4 linked regions of the Drosophila melanogaster genome follow. The protein of the gene in region 4 purifies or fractionates together with the protein of the main gene of each other region. This does not show direct contact. Each region holds a gene or a part of one and is shown on either strand. Other genes may lie near its edges. The genes, in order: Mbs, Ciao1, Patj and crb.

Region 1 (5,667 bases), on a different chromosome or scaffold from region 4:
TTGCAAATTGACTCGGGAATTTGTTTGGGGAAACCATTTTGGCCTTTTCTATATTTGATTTTCAAAATTACACTGTGGTTTGTTGATGAAACAGATTTAATTTGTTGTTCTATTATAGCTAATGCCAAATTAAATTTGAGAGTACAGTGAGCGCAAGATGGGAGTGGACTAAGAAATTTGTATATTAATTCCATGGGAATTAATTAATTCTAATAAATAACTTTAAAACAGTACCACAAAATATTTCTGTATTCTTGATACTATTTTAACTATTTTTTAAAGGTTAAATAAACTCTCCATTAAATAGTTATCAAATGATAAACCGCAAATCGCAAATCTTTATTTGTTCTTCCTATTATTTTGTATTAATTAAATAGTCCTTGTCTTAATCTACAATATTATCATGTGCATAACAATAGAACGAATTTCCATGATAGGTACGGAAAATTTAAGCTTTTTATTTCATTTTCGTGCCGGCAAAGTATCATTAAATTCCTATTCTTCGACATGCCACAAAATCGAGTCAAGCAAATTGGAGGAAAACTGAAAATGATTTTGCGAAAATCTTTGGGCTTTCAATATGTAAACGCGCTTTCGTGTGTATGGGTTTTGTATGTTTTTCTTGGGTGTTTAAAAATAGAACATTTTGTATTTTTCTTATTTAATGCTTTTGGCCGTTTGCCTTTTGCTTGTGGCTGTTGTTGTTGGCTATGCCGTTCTGGCCATTCGACTTGTAAATCGTCGGCTTGCATTAGCCATGTATTTGCTGTATTTGTTAATATTCGAAATTCGAATTATTGTTGCGGCGGCGAAAGAGCACGAAATACCCAACAACAATAATGGTCGAGCGTCTAGCGAACGGCGCTGCACAGTGGGTCTAAACAGGATGGATCATTCTTGACCTTGATTGAATATCCTATAAAAATTCCTAAATAATAACGTCAATGTGTCATAATGCTGTGTTCTTTATCTTCTTCGATGGAAAATCTTGTAAAATTAATCAATTTAGTAATTTGTTCTTTATATTTTAATTTGTTGTTTTACTTTAAACGCTCTTAAGTTAAATGAAGTATACATAAAAATTAAATGGTTAATCCTTACGAAACAATAAGGTAATACTTTTCGTTTGCTGCTAGATATTCTTGTAGCATTTTAATAATTTGATCCCATGACCCCATGGAATTCGACCCACAGTGCGATTCACGTCAGCACCACAGTTGGACGCAACGCAACAGTGTCGAAACTGCAGCTCCCTGCGCCCGTTCCACCCCAACCCCGCCCCCAATTCACCCACCACCCCCTCGCCCAGTCGCGTGATCGCAGTTGCAGCAGACTGACGCAACGCCTAGCCGCCTTCTAAAGTGGGAAATCAATCCCTGGTGATAGGGGATGCAGTGTGAATATTCACATTTAATTAACTGGAAATTGCACCTGCTGCAAATGCAACCCTTGATAGAATTGCTAATACTCGCCACTTCTACCCAAACAAGAAAATAATGTCTGTTTGCAAACGATTACTTAAGTGGGAATTATCAATACCTACTAAAAGACTGTTGTCTTTTTCTTTTCTTCTAGCGAATGTTTTATGTTTTCTATCTGTGTACTATATCTTTAAAGATAGCTTTAAAATATATTTTATTTTATTGTATGTTCTTTAATTTAAATTTATTTACAAATTGACTAGTTGAGCAAAGTATAACCATTCAAACGTTACATTTTCTACCACCCAATAAGGACTATTCCTAAGTGTGAAAGAATGATGATTACTGGCAGACTTACCTGGTGCAGGGCGGTGAGTCCATCGACGTTGGCGGTGTTGATGTCGGCGCCCTGGTCGAGCAGCTGGACGACCTCGTCCTTGTCGCCGGAAAGGCAGGCGGCGAGGAAGACACAGCCGGAGCTGAACTTGATCCTGCGGCCGTGCTCGTGCCGGGGGGTGGGGGCGGCGCGGTTTGTGTCCGACTCCTCCCAGCGCTTCAGCTGCTCGGCGCGCTTCATCATCGCCGAGTTGTTGCGTGCGTCCAGCGAGGACATCTTGGCAGATCCTTCTTGGCCAGACGAACGATCTGCTCCTTCAGATAATCCTGCTACTTGCTGCAGAGCACGCGCTCTGTGAGATCGCTCGACTGCTCCAGATGTGTGTAGATTTTGTATGTAGCGCTGTTGTATCGCTATTGCTCTATCGTAATTGCTTTATTGCGCTTTTGTTTGCAATGGGAATTGGGTTTTGATTTTGCACTATTTATAGAAAATGCTTCACACTTTCGATTTTCGATCACGACTACACTTTTGCTGTTTGTACTGCTGCTGCTGCTGCTTCTTCTTTTCCTGCTTGCTGATTATTATTATTTTACGATTTTTCTATTTTCTTTGCGTGTGTGTGCGCGTGCGTGCGTGCGTGTGCGTTTGCTTTATCAGCCAACTTCTTGGCGTTTTCTTCTCCGCTCACTCACACAATGTCGCAATCAGGAACGCTCTCTCTCTCTCACACTCGCTCTCCCGCAAAACAATGCTATTTGTTGTTGTTTAACGCGCACCTTTGTTGTTGCATTCAATGGAAATTACACAAGAGGATGGGGCAAAAACTAAGAAATACGATAGGAGAAATTAATATTTTGCAAATGCTTTATTTAGAGCCACCAGCTGCTGGGCTACATAGTGTTAAGCAAACACATTTTCATATCAATTAAAAACACTTGCGGGCATTTTAGCAGCCGCTTGTTTTTTTTACACTTTGTTTATCATTCTCCCTTTCGCGCTCTCTCTCTCTCTCTGCCGCTCACACACACTCATGCAGTTAGGGCTTGCATACGGAGAGCGCGAATGGCTGAGCCTGCATGTGTGTGTGTTACCAATTTGACATAAATTCAACAGCCGCGACGCTGACGTCGCGAGTAAATAGAACAAAAATGGAAACCGCGTATTTTTTCACGCACTGAAATGCGATGATTTTATGTAATTTGGCAGGATGGCGGTATTGCACAAAATCCTTGCAAATGCGAGTGCACTTATGTAAAGGCATTTTTACATCGCCCCACATTTTACATTCCACTCCACACTCACACACACATTCACTCGCCTCGCACACAGACGCAACACATACACACGTATGCCGCACACGCACGTAGAGAAAAATGGATTGCAGTAGAAACTTTTCACACACACCGAAAGACCAAGCGAAAAACGCACCTTTCCCGCGAAATTCCCAGAACTTTCAGTGCTCTCTGGGCTTTAATGGCTGCAGGACTCTCCGCTGAAGCGCTCCTCGTCCGCGAGGCACTGGTATTTCACTTTATTTTGCATATTTTCGGTGGCGTTCAAATCGAATTTCATCCGCACGAAGTTCACAGACCAAAATTTTTTGACGATGTGAATCGGAGGGCAATGCGCGGTATATTTAGCACTCTTTTCGCCTGGTCACACTAACGCCGCTCACAAAATTGTAGATGGCGTCTTAGTTATGTTAACACTTAGCAGTGCTGTTATGGACCGATATTTTTAACGATGTTAATTAAACTATCAATATTATTTTAGGGTATTCGTAATTGTTCGTCTTATTACTCCATTCGGGAGAAATGCGTTCTTTTTGCATCCAATTCTTTACATTTAGTTCAAAAATAGATGCGGCCATATCTATCGATATATTTGATGTGCCTCAAAAACACATACAATGCAATTTTCAAACAACTTTTTAAATATATTAATACCGTTTCTAATTTTATCTATATAAAACACAAAAAGGAAAAAGAGGATACAACAGAATCAATTTACTTTCAAACTCAAAAAATGCTGTTTTTGGTCAACTTCTCTAATTGTGGCTTCCCTCAATTGTTTGTATTTATTCCTGGTTTGATACTAAGAATTCTCGAAAGTTTATTAAACCGAAACAACAAACAATTGATGTTAAAATAAATTTCCAAACTGATCAAAGTATTTTGTTTTTACTGGGAGTTCTCGGTATGCCGAAGGTTCTTCTGTTTGTTCCACTAATTTTTTTGTCAAATCAAGACAAAATGTTAGGGGCTCTAATTCTGATGAATCGAAATAAGCTCAGTTTTCGCGGTGTTACTGGACCGGGTAACAGACCCTTGTTCTATAAGTGGCTCAATTTTGTATATGTGTTATACCTGAACTACCGTTTCGATTTCCAAACCGTTTTATTCGATAAATGTTGGTTGAAAACGCTGCTGACGGCCTAGCGTAGACTTGATCCCACTGATGCATCTTATCGATATCTTTTTAGCGCGTATCGATACATCAGCGAGCCAAGCACCTTGAACAGTGTGACCCCATTTAGCATTTATTTAAAACTACGACTTCGTGTGCTGACAGTTGTTTGTTTTTGAAATTTTAATATATTCAGAAATATAAATAGCTTGCAAAATAGTTATTAATTAAACTTAAAAAAGTTTTAAAAAAAACATTCCAGTTTAGAGACGCACAGCTGGAATAGCCAACGAAAGTGCGGACATCCCACCCCCAAAAATAATTGCGCATCGCTTGGGCGGCAAAAAACTATTTCGACCGTTCCGCCCCGCTAGTTCTCTCTCTTTCCCCCGCCAGCACCCTCTCGCTCACTAGAAAGCCAAGCAAAACAAAACAAAACGAGAACGCAGAACCGACAAAACAAATACCTATAGGAAAGTGAGCTATATAGGCACATAGCTTTGGCGTAGTCGTTGCACGGCATTCAAACCCACCAGTCGACGTGAGCACAGTTGTGTAAACATTTTATACAGCAAAACTTATTTTAAGTGATTTTATAATCTTATCGTGGTGCGATAAGAGGTGAACGAAAACAATTAACGATTTGGTGGCCGAAAAAAGGCATTAAAAAAACCAATGATAAACTGATACGTTATCACTGTTTAAAATGTCTCTGGTAAGTAAATATAAATATGTGTGTTCAATCTTCCCGCGGTTTATAGAAAAAACAAAATGGGTTTACTTTACTATACTTGAATTATGCTGCATACAAATAGGCGCCGCCTGTCTACCTTTCTCTCTCCAACACGCCTTTTTTCATTCATGTCCTTACCCCCACATAAACAGGGACACGACCATTATCCCTCCCTCTCTCACTCTCTCTCTCTCCCCCTTTCTCCCTATCTCGCTCTCCGCTCTCTGGCGTTTTCTAGTGATTTCTAAAACAATCTGGAGGCCGAGATACACATGTACATACATACTTAGGCATATGTCAGGATCCCGTCTTATCTTATTCGCTCTTGTGCTAGCTTGTCATTTTGAGGGATGGGTTGGAATGAAATCTGTCTGTCGCACATGTTTCTGCCTGGATATTAACTAAGATTGTACCTTTTATCTCCGCCGATGCTGAGCTCATTCGCATCGCATTTCATTCATGATGAAATCAACACCACCCCCATGCTGCAAAACCCACCCATTCGTGGAACGCGTTTACTAGCTAGAATTTTCCAATTTCTAATTACCGCTCAATGTCATTTCCATTTACAGCGCTGCGTAGGTTCCTATGATTGATGGGGTTTTGCCTATAGCATCAGTTGCTTACCTCACTTATTTTACTAGAACGAAATTCATATATCCTCGCTGCATTCTGTTTTGCGTCATTCATTCGTGAGATATTTGTTTAAAACAACTGTCAACTGGCAAGTCTAATCTATACCTAGTAACGGTGACTAGATGGTTTCA
Region 2 (4,363 bases), on a different chromosome or scaffold from region 4:
GGTCCAGGTGGACACACCAGAGCCAAACAATGCCCTCAAGAGCTTGACCAGGATATCACTGTTAGCCGACCTGACAATGATGTTGGCCTGGAACGCTGAGGAGGCGGGCAAAATCATTGAGACGTACAAACAGTTCGAGAAGCGTCCGCCAGATTTGATCATGGAGCGAGTGGAGTCTAATCCACACCAGAAGGTACGCATGTTTACATTGCCAGTATCGCCACTGTAATGCAATATCCCAATGTCCATAGCTACTCGCTGCTCTCACCAACATCAAGCCGGTGAACAAGACTGATGCTGCCGCCTTGCTGCACACCTTTGGCAACCTGGGCAACATAATCAATGCCAGCGAGGAGCGACTCTCCCAGGTGATGGGACTGGGTCCCCGGAAGGCCAAGAAGCTGTACAAAACGTTGCAGGAACCGTTCCTCAGCAAATAGCAATCCATATTAGGTGTAATGCATCCCATAATCGTGTATGACACACTTCATCCATCATTTGAATACTTTAATTTTTTATTACGCAGACACTGTACAAAAATTAAGTTCCAGAATTACCCACTTAAATATATCAAACAATAATCCTTATGTTACTCGGTCACTTTCCAAATTTTAATGGTGCCATCATCGCTGCATGATATCAGTTGCCCGGCCACCACAGGATTCCACTGCACCGAGTTTACGTCCTGATCGTGAGCGCCTTCCTCCGCGGTTATCTGCTCGAACGTGGGTTCGTCTGGCTTGGAGTCGCTGCTCTCCTTAAAGATACGAATGCCGTCGTCGCCACAGGCAGTCGCTATCAGACCTGTAAGCTTGCACCAGGACACGTCGTAGATAGCCCGCGAGTGCTGCCCGGACACTGTGCACACGCACTTCCACACGGTTTGCTGGTCGGGCGTAGCCACTCCGGCTGTATTTCCGGGATGGTAGGCCCTCCAAATCTTTATTGTGGTGTCATCGCTACAGGAAACCAGGCGCTCGCCATCAGCATCGAAGTCAATGCCCCAAACCGTGCTTGTGTGTGAAGTAAGAGTGGCTGTGCAATCCCAGTCGTTGTCTATGGGCTCCTCTGCGAACATTTTTATGGTATTGTCGTACGAGGCGGAGGCCAAAATGTCCTTGGTTGGATGCCACACCACTCTCTTCACGTCCTGTGTGTGCGGGTTCAAAACGGCGGCGCACTCGAACTCATCATCGCCGGCAACCTCCCAGATCCACACGGACTTGTCCCGCGAACAGGTGGCCAGTAGTCCGCCGGATCGCGACCAGCTAACGCTCTTCACCTCGTTTTCGTGACCCTCCAATGTTGCGTTGCATTCGAATTCTCCCGAGGATTTCGACCAGATCGCCGTGGTGGCATCAAAGCTGGCCGAGGCCAAGTACTGACCGCATGGAGACCATCGGATCTCGCGAATAGTGCGCTTGTGGCCATCGGATAGGATGGTCTTTGTGCTCCAAGTGTTCCCGGTCAGCGACCAAATGCGGATGGCTTTGTCCTCGCCGCACGAGGCGAATACGTTGCCCTTAGGATGCCATGCCACTCCCCAGATGCGCCCCTTGTGGCCCTGCAGCGTGTGTTCCAGAATTAAACGTCCCATTGATGGTCAAGTGCTGTATTAGTGGACAAATCACTGTCTGTCCAAATAATGATAACATAAGCGCATGTCGCAAGAAGAAGAAAGTCAGCTGTCGTCAGTGTGGTCAAACGTCGGCAGAAGTCGTTCATCTAGCTTAATTTGTAAATCGGGATAAAATTAAATTTTAAAATTGTGTTCTTCATATCTAAGCAAAGCGATATTGCTTTGCAATAATAAAAAAATGCAATAAATTTGAAAATTCATATATTATAAATTATAAATTAATTTGATCAGGAAACTTATTACAGTTCAATACTTAGTAACTCAACTAAAAGCAATTTCAATTGGCAATTCGGATAAAAAAAGTCGAACGTATACTAGGCTTTTAATATATAATTCTGGCTTGAAAAGCGTTGAATTGCTCAGAGCTGAATCGCTCTAGTGTTGTTAAATGCTGACTTGAAGTCTTCACCTTTTCTTATCAGAACACACACCGAATTCCGTTACCCAGCACCAGTGACACTGGTGAAAGTTTTGTTGTGTATTTGGTGTTTTGCCAATGCTGATAAGAAAATGAACGGACTGATTGTGTTTAACAGCGCCAACGATGTTGTATACCAGAAGCTTAACGAGCCGCTGGCGCAGAAGATCCGGAGTGTGGCCACCACCCAGGGCCTGCTCCAGTCCGGCGGCTCCCTGGACAGCAACATACTGCTGCAGATTTTCAGCCCCATCGTTGGATCTCAGCGAATAATGCAGTGCCAGTTCGATAATGCCTACTCCAGCCTGCAGTGTGAGCAAGGCTTCAATTTGGTGTTCGGCGAACTTCTTGGCTTCACCTTTCTGAAGATCGGACAAATACCCGTGGAGCTGCTGGGTCGCCAAATGGGTGTGGCCATTACGCTGACGCGCTATTGTTACGGCGCCAATTTGTTTGCCGCCCAGGCGGGGGCCATGCAACAGGAGTTGCTGACGCAGTGCCTCGACTGCTATGAGACTTTGTTGTGGGAGGAGGATCAGACGTACCTGCTGGAGGCCATGCCCAGGCTGCTGATCAACACGGAACTAAAGAGGACAGTGCATCTGACGCTGGACGCCACGCTTGAGCACTTGCGCCAGCTCGGACTGCCCCGAGCCCACGCCCTGTTGCTCGTTTCCAACAAGCTGGTGGCCGCGAACAGCACTCGGCAAGCTCTGCCGCTTGCTGCCGCCGACCTACTCTTCCTCAGCCTCATGTCACGCGCCCTGCAAGCGCCAAAGTCCCCTTCCCAGCGAGCAGTAGCTGTATTCCTGCAGGGTGTCTCCTATGATGTGAACTCTGGCTGCGTTCCCAGTATCGTGCACATCTCGCGTCTCCATGGTAACCAAGTTCTCCTGCAGGTCATCGAGTACGCCCACATGCCACTGACCAGCTGCATCTACGATTCCTTCTTTGTGCTTCAAAAAATCGTGGCTGTTCAGCATCAGGGCGATTCGGATGCCCTGAAGCCCGCCTTCGAGAACCTCGAATCGTTTATTGTGCAGGCCTTGACCGCTTTGAAGCGATATCTGAAACAGCGATCGGAAACCGATGACCTAGAGAACTGCACGAAGAAGTTCGCCGCTAAATGGGAGAATCTTCGCAAGATGTACACTGAGTACTTCAAGAACTTTGAGCGGGAGCTGCTCGTGAGGATTGAGTCGAATTTGCCCTCGTTCGGAGAGGAACTGAAGCAGATATTCACACTGGCCTGCTGCGACAGCTCAAGTGTCCATGAGCTGGATCAACTCTCTGATACGGCAGCGAATGTGGAAGCCAAGCTACTGGAGTTCGCTGAATTTCTGGCCGTTAAGGCCACTCGTAACATATCCATTGATGCTTATTTGGAGGATTTTCCGGGTCTGGTGCACTTTATGTACGTCAATCGCAGCCGAGGACAAATGCTTGCTCCGGATCTGCGACCGAACCAGCTGGTGCCAAAGACAAAACTCTGGAGCATGGTGGAGATCGCGAGAAATTACCTTAAGAAGGGCCAGACCACAGTGATGTGGAAGGATAAGGCATTCCATTACTCGTACTTCCTCTGGTTCGAGGACATGTCTGGTGGCGTTCTTAGTACCGTCGTGGATTTGCAGCACCACTTTCTGTCCACAGGAGCAGCCAGTGGCAACGGTTCGAAATCCCCAACAGAACCAGGTGCTCTTACAATGGACTATTACCACGATCTGGCGGAGTTGTGCTTCCCCAAGCTGTCACCGGCCAAAGTGCGCGTCTACGAGTTGTATTGCATTCATCTGGGACTGGTAACCGCCACATGCGCCGTGGAGCATGCACGTCGCCTGGTGGCCACCATCAGTGATGTTGTGGGCGAGGAAGCGTTTTAAGTGCATTGGCCATTGGTCATTCCAGATTTATAACATGATTTCTAGTCAATTTTCGAGACTCCTAGGCGAGATAATCCACTCGAAATTTTGTTAGGTTTAGGACAACTATCATCCACTGTTATAGGCTACACAACAAGGATATTTGTAAAGTTATTGGAAACATATATATTTTCTTCAACCGGCAATAAAAATGTAACAATAAATGTGTGTTTACTCTGTTTCAGGCTGTTGCGCCTTTTTGAGTTCCTCCAGCTTCTCCAGGAAGAAAGATTTTCGTGCTGTTAGCGGCATGGACTTTTGCCGAATCATATAGTTTTCGTTGCCCAGTGCAGTGTAAACGTCATTTCCAATCAGCTCCCTCAGCGCGATGTTCTTCTTTAGATGTTTGTCGTAAAAGCTAGCTCCAGCTGCCACAAGTTGGGG
Region 3 (6,924 bases), on a different chromosome or scaffold from region 4:
CGTGTCGCGAAACTGAAACGGAATTATGATTCCCGATCGCAGCACCATTTTCAAAGCGCCCACACACGCGATTTATAAAAATTTTCACAAATTTCTCAAGTCCGCTTTGTGCTTGTCCTCCGTAATTGTTTTGGTCTCCGTTTATTGTCGTTCGTAAACAGCGAACTAGTTTCGAGCTCCCCGAAGTCTGGCCACACATCTGCAGTTCCGCGAATCGGAGCGGAATACGCGGCTTATAAGATTTCCTCGAAAAATATTATTTTCTCCCTTAATTTAACGCTTTATCTAAATTACGAAATCTATGCATGTGCAAATTCAATTTTTTTTTAATATATAATCTTAAATGCCAAGCAAGAACTAGTTCCAAAGACGGCTGAACAAAAATAAAAACTCTCGCCTGGTCACACAGTAAAGCTGATTTCATAGGGGGAAAAGCAAAGCAATAGGATTTCGAGTAATCCCGTCCATATGTATTGGAGTTATCCACCTACTGAGCATGCATAGGTTCTTCCAGGTTGTTTCCAGCACTTGATCCGATACAAGAGTTAGCTGCCCGCCTTCACAATGCTCGAGAACTGTCAGCGTCACCACATGCTCCTTGGACTAGGAGCCCTAACGATGGTCACCATACTCGTCCTGTTCGTGGAATCTCGTTACGCGGCAGATGGTCCTCGTCGCCGAGAGCCGCAATTCGTGATCGAGGACAACTCGACCTGCTGGCGGAATGAGAAGTACACGATGGTGCAGGAGTGCCACCCGTGCTCCGAATTCGATATAGTCAGCCGGAGCTTGGGCGTCTGCATTCACACGCACTACAAGGAGGTGCTGCGCTGCCAGAGCGGCGAGATCGTAACCAGGAGCTGCGACCGGGTGGCGCTCATCGAGCAAATGAACTTCTTGAAATTTGAGGTCTCGTGCTTTGTAATCGGATTACTTAGCTACCTGGTCAGTTATGCCCGCGATCGAGTCCTGTCCAGGCGCAACTACATGAGAATCGAGCGACAGCTAAACCGGGTCCAATAGCCCTCCGCCAAATCATCGATTCCCTTCCCCAAGTGATACTCATTGACCGTACGGAAGGTACATTATTTAATTTAGTTTAAGTACATACACTCTGGAAATACCATGTTAAAATTCATTTGCTAATACTAGGGGGTTTAATATATTGCATACTTGTGGAATGCTTGTTTTCAGGGGACAAACACAATTCGGCGTTAATAATATGCATAACATTTTGCTTCGGTAATAACAATCGCTCCTGTACTTCTGGCATCGTTTCTGACATCGTTTCAGATTCTACTGCCTGTTGTTCATATTCGTAGAAAATATCGATTAACTAATCCATTAGTTAGCAACCGCGTTTGATTTGATTTAAAACAGGCTTAAAGATTCAAATGCCTGGAATGTGTGAAATTCTTCGTTATCGTAACACCCTAGTTCCGCCAGTCGGGAATCAGGTCGGGCTCAGCTCCCATGGAGGCACTAGGCGGCATGGCGGGCGGAGCAACTGTGGGCAAGGCTGGAGGCGATGGCTGGGCGTCCAAGGTCTCTTCGCTGGTGGTGCTCGCATTGCTGCAAGCCTTCAGTGAGTTGTCCGTCATGGGCAGTGGTTTGGCCACACCAATGCGCACCACTCCTTTCGAAGCACCCTTCAAAGCCTGCACTGCCTGATCCAGCGAGGCGTTCTCCAGGTTAATGGAGTTCACAAACAAAAGTCGATCTCCGGGTATAAGGCGTCCGTCCAATTGAGCCACCCCTCCAGGGACCAGAGAACGGATTACAATCAGCGTATCGTTGGGATCCAACGGATCTTGATAATCCAGAATAGAGAAGCCCAGACCGCGATCGCCCTTGACCAGCTCGATAATTTGCGGTTGGGACGACCACATAGCCAATCCGGTTAGTGGCTCCAGGGAGCGCGACTTCAGCTTACTAAACGAAGCAGCGGCGGCAGCCACTGAATCTCCATCGGCCACGGAGCCCGCGGTGGCCAGACTACCATCTGATTTGGCCTTCACCAGACGATCGGTAGCAGGCAGCAGGTTCTCAAAGTTGTTGCTTAGCTTTTTCAGGGTGTCATCAGAGAATGGGAGAAGCGAGCTGTTCCTGTTGCGACCGCAAACCATGCGCACATCCAACGGCAGTTCCTTAAGTATAGCCACCACCTCCAGGTGGTTCATACCCAGCAACCGCTCGCCGTTTACCTCCAGCAATTCATCGCCAGAGCGGAGTACTCCATTCACGCCAACGGGTCCATCAGGTAAGATTGAACGAATATAGTGATGGGGTCGTACCTCGCGCCCTCCTTCTACGTCCACGGTTCCCTCCAAGGAAATCCCCAAGCCTCCGACCGCGAACTTCTTGATCTGGGCCACAATCACCTCCACATCGGAGCCCACAATCTTCTGCCATTTGCGAATAATTTCGGTTTCGGCGTCGTCGGACAGTTCCGGATCGGTGTAGTACTTGTGACGGGTGATCACCCCGCTGTTCTTGGCCTAAAACATGTTAATGCGCTATACGTTTTGCTGCTGTGTTACCCGTTAGCTAATACTCACCTCCGTTTTATCCGCCAAGGGTACAACTTCCGTGGGTATGATCTTCGTGGAGCCGTCTAGGGAGTCCCTTACTGCTACTAGTTGCTTACCCGCTCCAAAGGAGCTTAATGTGGTGGTGGTCATTGTGGTGACCGACGGCGGAGTGGTCATGAATGCTTCTGGCGCTGGTAAGGCTTCCTCTTCCAACTCGCGAGTGATGCTGCGTGATGGTGTAGTTGTGGCGGAGGACGTTGTGGCCACGGGCGTGGGCATGGGAGCCCTTGAAGGCGTTCCAGGTGCACTGGATGGAAGCTTGTCATTCGCAGCGATAGCCTGCTGCAGCTGCTCGAATTTGGGGCCCCTCAGGTAGCGTTCCAAGCGCAGGTTCACCACCTGACCAGACTTCTTAAGCAGCTCTACGGCCTGGTGGTTGGAGTAGCCTTGTAGCGACTGGCCGTCAACTTCAATGATGCGATCGTTGACCCGGATGCGACCACTCAGGTCCGCTGCTGAACCGGGCGACACGCTCTTTACGAAAATGCCAGACAGCTCTTCTTTCTCACACACATAGCCGGCAATTGTGATGCCCAGGCCGTTGGCATCCTTCTTCAGCTCCACCTGAAGCTTCTCCGTTTCAGGAAGGGCAAGCAATTCCTCTAGGTCGATGTTTGGATCAATAAGCATTGATGTCTCGCCGCGATAAACGAAACGATCGTCTTCCGTGGTGGTCTGCGGAGTGGAGGCCGTGGAGCTCTCGCCAAAGATTTCCGGATAGCCGGTAGATATGAGGTACCGCTCCAGCTCGGCAGGATCGACGAGGACGCGCGTGGGCACCACAGCAGTGCCCGGTTCCAGGGCGTACTGGGGCGTAGGCACGCTCTGCTCAACGGGACGGGCAACCACTAGGCGGACGTGGGTTCCAGACTGTCTCAGCACGGCAGCCACCTGTTCGGATACCATTTCGTGCAGGTTGACGTCTCCAATCTGGAGGATGTGGTCGCCCGAGCGCAAGCGTCCGTCCTTATCGGCCACGCCACCCGGCAGGATGGTTTTTACAATCACTCCCGAGTTGCGAGCTCCAATAATACCGAATCCGAGACCCGTGCCGTCGTTGACCAGCTCTATGGCCTGGATCTGAGCGTAGTCCGTGGCGTAGAGATCCGCCACTCCGGCTCCTTTGGAGTTCTGGCTCTGCGGGCGCGGCTCCTCGCCGACGCCTCCGGACTTATCTGGACTGCCCGGAGCCGAATGGGAGTGCGAGGAAGAGCGCTGTTCGTCAAAGTCGTACATCACCTCGCCACCATTCAGACTGAGTACAAGGTTGCCGGCCACATCGATGTCGAAGTCGTTGGGCAACATGGACGGATGCTGAGCCAGCTGGGCGTTCAGCTCGGACAACGAGTCCTGCACGTGGACGATGGTGCGGAAAACGGGATCCTGCAGAATGCCCAGAATGGTGCTAAGGCTCTCGGCCGTCTGCATTTGCAGCTTGGGGTCGTCGGACTCATCGATGCCCTTCTTCACTGCCTCGATCTGCTGAAGGGCGCTGGAAATATCCGCGCTGAGGTGCATCTTGCGTCAGTGGGCGTGGTCAGCGAGCGGTGCGCGGTGCGGTCAGTGGAGCGTGGTCCCCGTCTCTATCCCACTTCCGCTGGCGTTTCTATGGACTTCTGGGTGGGGGCGTTGTGGCGTTGGCACACTTTGTCCTAAACTGCAAAACGGGTAATTCGATTTGGGCTCTAAGTGGGACAGCTTCGGATCAGTTACTGTGCCGTTTGGATGCAGCGAGTTGTTTACCCTCTCCTATGCACTCTTTTCGGTGGCCACTTGCTCTGCTGCTGCTGCTGTAATTGATTTTTAATTATCTCTGAAATGGAATGCCAAATGCATTTTCTTTTCACAAACAGCTGATGGACAGGGTTGCCGAGCGGCTGCGTTGTGCATCGATAAGCAATCGACATAATCGGAACAGTTGCCACCTTTTCAAAATCAATTCAAATTCGACCGTTACATCTGCTAATTTAATTAAATCTAAGATTTTTGAATATAGTCTGCATGTGCTCGTATGTAATATGGCTATACGAAATAACCCAACAACATCTATCCTTTTAAACGCAAATTTTGAATTTAATTTCTCTGTACGCACAAATATCTGTGTTCCAAATACGGAAAAACAATAAGGTGTCTGCCATCAAACCATGTTACGTTCCTCCTCCTCCTCCAATTCTATTTCGAGCTTGCGGAATTCGCGGAAGAATTCGCGAGTGATATGCTTCATATGTGGAGTCAAGTACTTGGGAAAGATATCTGCAGAAGAAACAGAGAAACTATCAGAAACTATTGAAACCTCCAACAGAAAAGGAAAACCCACAATCAAATTCTATAATGAGATCCCCGAACTGCTCCACCTTCTTGTTGGCCTCCTTGATGGCCGTAACTGCATCCAAATTGCGGCACTTGGGGAGTCCCTCGAGGGGAACCACTTTGGTGTATCCCGGCTGCACTACGTCCGTAATGACCACCTTCAACTGGCGCCGGTCCAGCGTGCAAATGAAGAACGTGAAGCCGGTGAAGGCCTGGCACAGGCCAATAGACTGCCTGTAGACCAGGTCGTGTTGGTTTCTCCTCTCAAAGTCCGGATGCGGCTTGTCGGCGGCAATGAAAATAATATCACCCGGAATGGTGGCCGGATAGCGATCGCCCTCCTCCTTGAAGCAGAAGCGAGTTCCGGCCGTAGTTCCCGGGGCAATGTTCAGCTTTAAGGTGTGCTTGCGCTTCTCCAGCCGCGACTCCTTGGCGTCCACGATCTCCTGGCGCCACACGTTCATCAGCTTGACGCAGCCAGTGCGTACTTCCTCCAGCGACAGCTCGATGATCCTCTCCGTACTGGCGTCCTTGGAACGCACGCCAATGCCATGCTGGCGCGTAGCGTACAAGCTCGGTGGATTGGAGATCGCATCGATCACGTTGGCATACGGCGAGTAGCTACCGAAGACCCGCTCGTAGACCTTCATGTGGTCGCCGTCGTACTGATAGGGCGGAAAGTATCCGTTCGGCAGCATGACGCCCTCGAACAAACCCGCCTCGCCAAAGCGATCGTATATGGCCCGGTACAGATCGTTGCCCAGCACATCGAAGGCCATGTTGACGTAGGCCCACTGCCTGGGCTCGCCCATGGGTGAGAGGTGCGTGAGACGACCCTCCTGGGCCAGCGGCACAAAGTCCTGCTCGTCCTTCTTGTCGCGATGTGGGCAAAGCCGAATGGCCAGGCGGCGGTAGGCCAGAGTAATCTGCTCCTTGGTGGCGCCTCTGGGCTGATCCAGCACCGCGTAGTAGTCCAGCTCCGGCCGGTTCATTGTTTCTATTCGGAGTCGAAGCGTATAACAACTGGCAGAAGTGTTCACAGAATGTTTGACGTGTGACTGAGAATTTATTCAAATTATATACAATAACTCAACTGACGCAGGATCTGGCTATGGATGAAATATGCTTGTGGACAAATACATTAAGATTAGAGCTATGGTGTAGATGGAAACGTGGCGGCGATCAGTCAACGTCCTCGGTGCTGACGCCAGTGTAGATGGGCTCCTCCTTGGCTGCACTCTCTGATTTGGCATCGTCGGTCTTCTCCTCGCCACCGGCGACGTCATCCGAGTCATCTTCCTCCTTCTTGTCACCCTCCAAGTCAGCGGCATTGGGCACCCAGAGACCAGAGTCCACACAACGCTTCATGTGCAGCTTGGCGACGTCCACGGGCATGGCCGCAATGGTCTTCTGCAGCAGCTCTACGTCGCGGGACTCGAAACAGGCCTTTAGTTCCTGCGGAGCAAATACATGAAAAGTTAGTCAAGTAATTCCCATACAGTGAATCACTAGAACGTACATCGGGCAGGGATTCAAAGACATCGGCTGGGTCCAGACCACCAGGTCCGAGGCGCTCCTTGCGCTCCTCCTCTTCGGCCTGGGCTATCGCCTCCTGGATCTTCTCCTGCGCACGCTTCTGGATACGTCCTTTGAAACCTTCGATCTCGCTGTCGAACTGCGCGCGGTACTCGGGATGACAGTGCTGGATCTTTGAGAAGAAGGAGCTGACACAGGCGCGAGGATCCACGTCCAGCTGTTTGGCCAACTCTAGAATGTACTGCATGCAAATGCACTGATGCGCCACGTGGGCCATCAGCTCGTGCTTCTCCTCCATTTCCAGGTTGATGGACCAAATGACTAGGTAGTTGGCCGTCTCCTCGCCCACCAAGTGAAGATGCTCCTGCAGAAACCGCTTCGAATCGTCGTACTTGCGCAGCATGCCATACTGCTGGCAGAGCTTCTCGTTCTCCTTGACGAATTGCTTCATGCGCTGCTCTCGCTCTTCCTCGGACAGATTCTCATC
Region 4 (5,952 bases):
TAAATTTTTGGAATTAATATCGTGTAAAAGCGAAAGCTGCCACTGTCTTTTCAGTTTAGTATAATATTTTCCCCACTATGTCATATTGTTTCTCACATTTGTGGTTTTTGTGCATCGGTAATTTCCCAAGGTGGCTGGCTAATCGATGCAGTCGCAGAAAACGTGGAACATTGCAAGGAGAAACTAGACAGAACTAAGCAGTTGTCTCGACTTAAAGTTACCTAATTACAACTTTCTATGCTTAGTCCAAAATCATACCAAGAGTCCACATCCCAATTATTTCGGCTATAACCAAAATTGGTCCTGAAATGTGCGCCCTGCATTCTCAGTATTGCATTCAATTCCACTTCCGCCACAATTCCCCACTCCCCACTAAGTACTGGGTAGTAAAGTACGCCCTAACCTTTAAAGGACTGGGGCAAATCAGTTCTTTTTCAGTTATACTCTGGCTATTTTTATAGACCTGGCTAACGACTTGCACTAATGGCCAACGTCAGGCAATGGTCGCGGCCGGCTGCGTAGGCCCACGGAACATGGCCCACGACCCGCGTCACGGCCGATTGCACTTTAACACTTGACCAGGTTGAAACACCGGACACCGGAGAGCGGAGAACGCGGGTGTGTCCAGCGTACAATTTCCATTCCATTCTCGATTTTCATTTATGTACGTGCCAGAGAATTTCCATAAACTCGCGGGGTCACGTGTTGTTATCGTTAACGCAATGCAGGTAGTTTCGGTTCATTTGTGTTTTCCCTCCACTTTTCCAGCGTGCCTAGTATACCTGTGCCGCGATTTTTCCCCTGAAAATGATGGATTATATCTGTTTAGGGCGGAAATTCAAACGAAAGCCGTACAGAAACCACTCTCGAAGTGAAGATGACGCTGATGATCTTCGCTGTCGGTGTCTGGATTTTACGATGGAAGCTGCCATAAACCAGTTGCTGTGATGCCTTTCAGGGATTTCCCAGCCCAGACATTCATTTTCTCTTCTTTTTATTCGTCGGTTTTCCTTGTCAATCATAAACCAAAGTCATTTGATAAATTCTACGATAAAAGGTATACGAAAATACAGGGCCTATAGAGAGGTTGGTTCTTTACAATTAAAAGAAAATGTGTTCATGGAAATGAATGAATTATAGCTCTTTATTAGGGCTTTTCACTCGTTTGGATTTTTTTTAATTATTAAGCTGAAAATTTGTTTACTATTAGCTTCAAGAGCTGATAAACTGGTTTACTATGTTTTCGCTGCACTCCAGGGCTTTCCCTACTTCGAGTTGGAAAACTCTTTCTCTATCTGTGCTCCCTTCTCCTGAGTGTTCTTCTTATCAACCTATCAACGGAATTGCGGTATTGCTGACGTTGAGTTGGCCGCGCTTTTGCAACTGTTGTACTTCACTTTCCGGCCAAAAGATAAGATTGCGCGTAACAACAGCCGGATGGCTGGCCGTTTGGAGGGTTGGTACTCGAATTGTAAATAAATAGACCCAATTTTTGAGGTCGTTTTTGCACAATCCGTTGGAAAAAGGGGGCAGACAATGCTAAGCCAGCCAAACAATTGAGCCGCGGACAACATGTAACAGAAAATTACACATAATGAGTCAGCAAGAGTTGTGAATCAATTATTATGATCGTTATGCGATAAGTTTCACAGATTTCACTGTTGTGATATCGCTAAAAGCGCTTTGAAAATGCAGACAAATGAGGTTTTATTACCAAAAAATCGCACCAGTATCAACAAATGCAGAAACAATAATTTGTTACGATTCCCTGTTATTTACCTAAAAATATGATATCCATTTGTAAGCTACAGTGTGTAAAAAATGCGGGTCACGTTAAAATATCTCTTCTGGTTTCAGTAATTAATTCTTCTTGGCCAAGATTGCTAACATTAACCGCCTTTGAAGCTATAATTTGATTAATTATCTCTCTCAGCGACTAAAGTTGTACTCTACTAAATATAAATTTATACGCAATCGAAGCTAATACATTTCTAAGCATTCCTTTTGTTTGCAAGATAAGACCGAGCACACAATCATCAAAAATTAGAAATGAGTGTATAATTAACACAATCAAACTTCAGGTAAGCCAGCTCCATGAGTCACTTCTTGAAGGAAAACCCGTTGAACGAGTTTTTCGTAGGCCCGAAATCATTGAAAATCCAAATTCCTTTTACCCAACATGACTTGGTCAACATCCCCAAAACACACGAATGCCCCACCACACACACACATGACCTGTTGCTCTTTTTTTTCGATTACGAGCTTTTGAAACATCAGCAAATGTTTAAGCTAAAGAATGCATGTGGCTCATCATATAAATTATTTACAGTGTGACTTCCGTAACTCAATCTCATTAACTCATTAATCATATGAGCAGCCAAAGGCTTAAACACAATAACAACATTACAAATTCCATTTAAAATGGGCATCTAATATACATTTTAATAATTTATAACGGGCAAGTTCAGTGCTGTGGAGTGATCACTGTAGCTTAAGAACCGCGTAAACACCGTGTTGCTCTCTCATGTCCCCATCTTCGCTCTCTCCTCCTGAATGTCCTCGACTGCCTATCGCCCTCCCTCTCACTCACTCGCTAGCTCCCTCTCAGGGTTCTCTCTCACCTGTTGCTAAGTAAATAAGTATGAAGAGCGGTATCCATTGAGGCGACGAATAAACTGAAATGGCGCGCTTGAGCAAATGCGACGTAATTTGAGCTGCGCTTTTCGTGCGGTCTCGACTTCTTGCTGTTGTTGTTGCTGTTTCTACTGATGCCGCCACTGTTGTTGTTGTGGTCGTTGCTGTTTCTGCTTGCCGCTGTTTTTGTTGTTGCGACAGTGACGCATTGGCGATTTTAGCCATGATCGCTGATTTGTTGGCTCAAGTCGAGTTTTCGTATTGGAAAGGGTTGCTTTTGGCTAGATATTATTGCTATTCAAACGATACTCATTGAGCTTGTTGTTGTTGGTAATTGCATTCTCCCTTCTCTCTGCTCCACGCAAACACTCATACGCACACACACACACGCGCGCAATCGGCACTTGGCTTAGAACAGGTTATTTTTATTTTTTTTAAGTTATATTCCTCTTTTTCTGCTAGTTGTATTATTTGCAAACTTTCGCACGCGACACTTTCTAGCCTGAATTTGAATATTGAGCACAGAGATTCCACTTTGAGCCAACTAATTTGCCATTTCTTCCCAGGCCACGATTCTGAATCACACCAACACACACACACACATACGAGCGCCGAAGACTTGGCTTAAAAGAGAGGTGCGCTGTTCTTGTTGTTGTCGCTGCCCTTTTGAACTGCAAGCAGCACACACACACGCGCGCGCACACACATTGGCCAAAACGGGGCGAAAAAAACGTTACGAGCGCGAGCAACCAATAAAACGTACGTACGAGCAGCAAGAAAAATGTTCGACCGTTTGAATCGGCGATATCCGTTTCGTGGGCTTATATATGGTGCAGTGTGACCAGTCCGCTTGGCTAGGTTTGGCTGGATTTTGATATAGAGTCAACATGCATGGCCACACTGATATTCAAGTTGCACAGTGGTACAATATGTACAAAAAAAATATTTTGTTCTTGAATTGATTTCGCACAAGAATTAAACCGTTAATTACATTTTCATAAAACTTTACTGATATAACTATTCAATATATCAATTAATATCGTGTGTATGTCTAGGTGACATTCCAAAATACACGAGCATAGTAAAGTTTAATTTATGGCGGGAACATGAAAACGTAAACTTCACTTAAATTACCAACGGCAGTTATGGGTTTTGTAAGTTGTGACCTACATCATCATAATCCAAATAGAATAAACCTTTTATAATACCGCAAATCTTAACTTGCGAAAATTCCGCACTGCACATATTTTCAAGTCGGAATGCATAAAAGTAAATTCCCCATAAATCAAGAAGCCGGCGGATAGCAACTACGTACTTAATGTAAATGTAAACGGCCACAAAGCGCCGACTTATCGTTTCAAAGAGAACTCAGCATAAACAGGCAGCACCGACAACATGTCGTCAATTTTTGGAGGTCTAGGTGGGACTATATAATGTGGGTAAGCCTGGTTAGAAATCACAGCAGTTGGGGAATTAGCAAAATGGGCAAATCGCAAAATAATACTGGTTCGCTTTTGCTACTGATTATACTGGGCATTTCTCTGGGAGATTCCATGCCCCTGGAGGATATGGACTCCCAGGAAATGATTGACTTGACAGATCTTGGAGATACTCTGTTCGGTAATCCGGACGTGGAGACGACTGGAGCTTTGGTTGAGGCACTCGGTGTGGAATCCCCGCTGAATCCCGAGGAGCTGGGAACCTACCACGAAGGTGACATCCTGATTCCACTGAGCTACAGGGACGCCCGATTCAATGGCACTCGTAATGGCATTTTGGCGCTGAGTTCCCGCTGGCCGGGCGGCGTTGTGCCCTACGAGATCAAAGGTCCTTTTACCAGCCAGGAATTGGGGAATATTAACCACGCTTTTAAGGTGAGGTTTCAGTAATAGTCCCTATTACAATTTACAAATAAGATTTTGTATCTTAGGAATACCACACCAAAACATGCGTGCGCTTCAAGCCCAGGACCACCGAAAAGGATTACATCTCCATTGGTAGCGGAAAGTCTGGCTGCTGGAGTAGCATTGGGCGCTTAGGTGGTCGCCAGGAAGTGAATCTGCAGTCGCCCAACTGCTTGCGTACATACGGCACTCCCATTCACGAGCTGATGCACGCCCTGGGCTTCTTCCATGAGCAGAATCGTCACGAACGTGACTCCTATGTGCGCGTGATGAAGGACAACATCAAGCCCGAGATGATGGTCAACTTCGAGAAGTCCAGTTCCAGGACACAGTACGGCTTCGGCGTGGAATACGACTATGGCAGTGTGATGCACTACTCCCCCACCAGTTTCACTCGGAATGGCCAGCCCACGTTGAAGGCACTGCGTGCCACATCCGATGCCAGCCAGATGGGTCAACGCAAGGGCTTCTCAGCCGGAGATGTGCGCAAGATCAACGCAATGTACAAGTGCAAGGTGTAGATGACAACTGCAGTCGAAGCATTCGGTAACAGTATTTTGACAAACATAAATATTTATCATCAACAATCAATTGTGTTTACTGAAAAAATATGTCTATGGGTACAATATTTGGTTAGATAATTAACAATCGCCTATGTGCGTCGTGTCTTGTACTGCTCCGGGAACTCTCACGCCATCCCATCCTAGTGGTACGGCAGGTTCTTATTTGTCTCAAAGAAATAGTTGCCCTGCATGTTGAGCTCCTTGCAGATCGTCGAGAATCTTCGGATGGCGTTGTACGTGCCGAGGTTACTTCCATCTTCACAGGGAAACACAAAGCATAACAGAAGATACTATATATACAGCACAGCAAGTGTCCGATTGCATGCATTGGTTGGTTGATTGGTTAGTAATCCGGATCATTCACTCCAGTCAGCGGATGGTTAGTGGGGACGCGCCTTTTGGATGGTGGCCTTACCTGGGCCCGCGAAACCGGCACCCGTCGCATTCAAATCCAGATTCATGTAGAGAGCCATGTTTCCGGTTGATCCGTGCCGAGATCGATTGTTTAAGAAGTCCCGGATATGCTGAACGATCAAATCGATGGCCACTGAAAGGAAAAGAGCGGACAATTAGTTCGCACTCAGTTTGGAAATATCAAATCGTAATGCTGCACCATCGTAAGCATTGCAACTCAATGTGGAACAATGCACTTACCTCGCTGCTCCTCCCGAGCTCCGCCGATCCAAGCGGTCTAGTCTAAGCCCAGGACTTATTCTAGCTCTAGTTAGTGGGATCTATTACCTAAACGCATCTAAGCTGGGCGGCATGTTCTGGTTATTGTTAAGCTACTGTGTTTTGTGACTGAAGTTAGTGTGCTTTACAATAAACTGGTTGTGTACTTACTAAATGAA

The links.
Region 1: the proteins of crb (region 4) and Mbs purify together in Drosophila melanogaster (affinity purification with western blotting, with the first as the bait; one study listed by BioGRID). This does not show direct contact.
Region 2: the proteins of crb (region 4) and Ciao1 purify together in Drosophila melanogaster (affinity purification with western blotting, with the first as the bait; one study listed by BioGRID). This does not show direct contact.
Region 3: the proteins of crb (region 4) and Patj purify together in Drosophila melanogaster (affinity purification with western blotting; 7 studies listed by BioGRID, with this or other methods). This does not show direct contact.

Annotation. Positions count from the first base shown.
Region 1 is NT_037436.4:16,049,673-16,055,339, reverse strand, and holds the start of Mbs (myosin binding subunit), read right to left. Parts: upstream 3,382-5,667; 5' UTR 3,166-3,381; intron 2,586-3,165; exon of another isoform or gene 2,336-2,585; 5' UTR 2,035-2,335; coding exon 1,780-2,034; intron 1-1,779.
Region 2 is NT_033778.4:14,853,363-14,857,725, forward strand, and holds Ciao1 (Ciao1), read right to left. Parts: upstream 1,687-4,363; 5' UTR 1,598-1,686; coding exon 590-1,597; 3' UTR 501-589; downstream 1-500. Other genes in the region: Ercc1, read left to right, coding at 1-193, 252-440; HPS1 (Hermansky-Pudlak syndrome 1), read left to right, coding at 2,150-3,940; CG33506 (uncharacterized protein), read right to left, coding at 4,151-4,363. UniProt on the Drosophila melanogaster protein: Essential component of the cytosolic iron-sulfur (Fe/S) protein assembly machinery. Required for the maturation of extramitochondrial Fe/S proteins.
Region 3 is NT_037436.4:1,796,334-1,803,257, reverse strand, and holds Patj (patj), read right to left. Parts: upstream 4,456-6,924; 5' UTR 4,335-4,455; exon of another isoform or gene 4,305-4,334; intron 4,277-4,304; exon of another isoform or gene 4,249-4,276; 5' UTR 4,110-4,248; coding exon 2,559-4,109; intron 2,499-2,558; coding exon 1,434-2,498; 3' UTR 1,074-1,433; downstream 1-1,073. Other genes in the region: CG42676 (uncharacterized protein), read right to left, coding at 1-48; JTBR, read left to right, coding at 565-1,023; CG12020 (uncharacterized protein), read right to left, coding at 4,729-4,844, 4,909-5,893; Cdc37 (cell division cycle 37), read right to left, coding at 6,084-6,356, 6,421-6,924. UniProt on the Drosophila melanogaster protein: Involved in cell polarity establishment. Probably participates in the assembly, positioning and maintenance of adherens junctions via its interaction with the SAC complex.
Region 4 is NT_033777.3:24,292,534-24,298,485, reverse strand, and holds the start of crb (crumbs), read right to left. Parts: upstream 3,409-5,952; 5' UTR 2,860-3,408; coding exon 2,622-2,859; intron 1-2,621. Other genes in the region: CG5715 (uncharacterized protein), read left to right, coding at 4,116-4,508, 4,565-5,059; Uck (Uridine-cytidine kinase), read right to left, coding at 5,242-5,357, 5,517-5,648.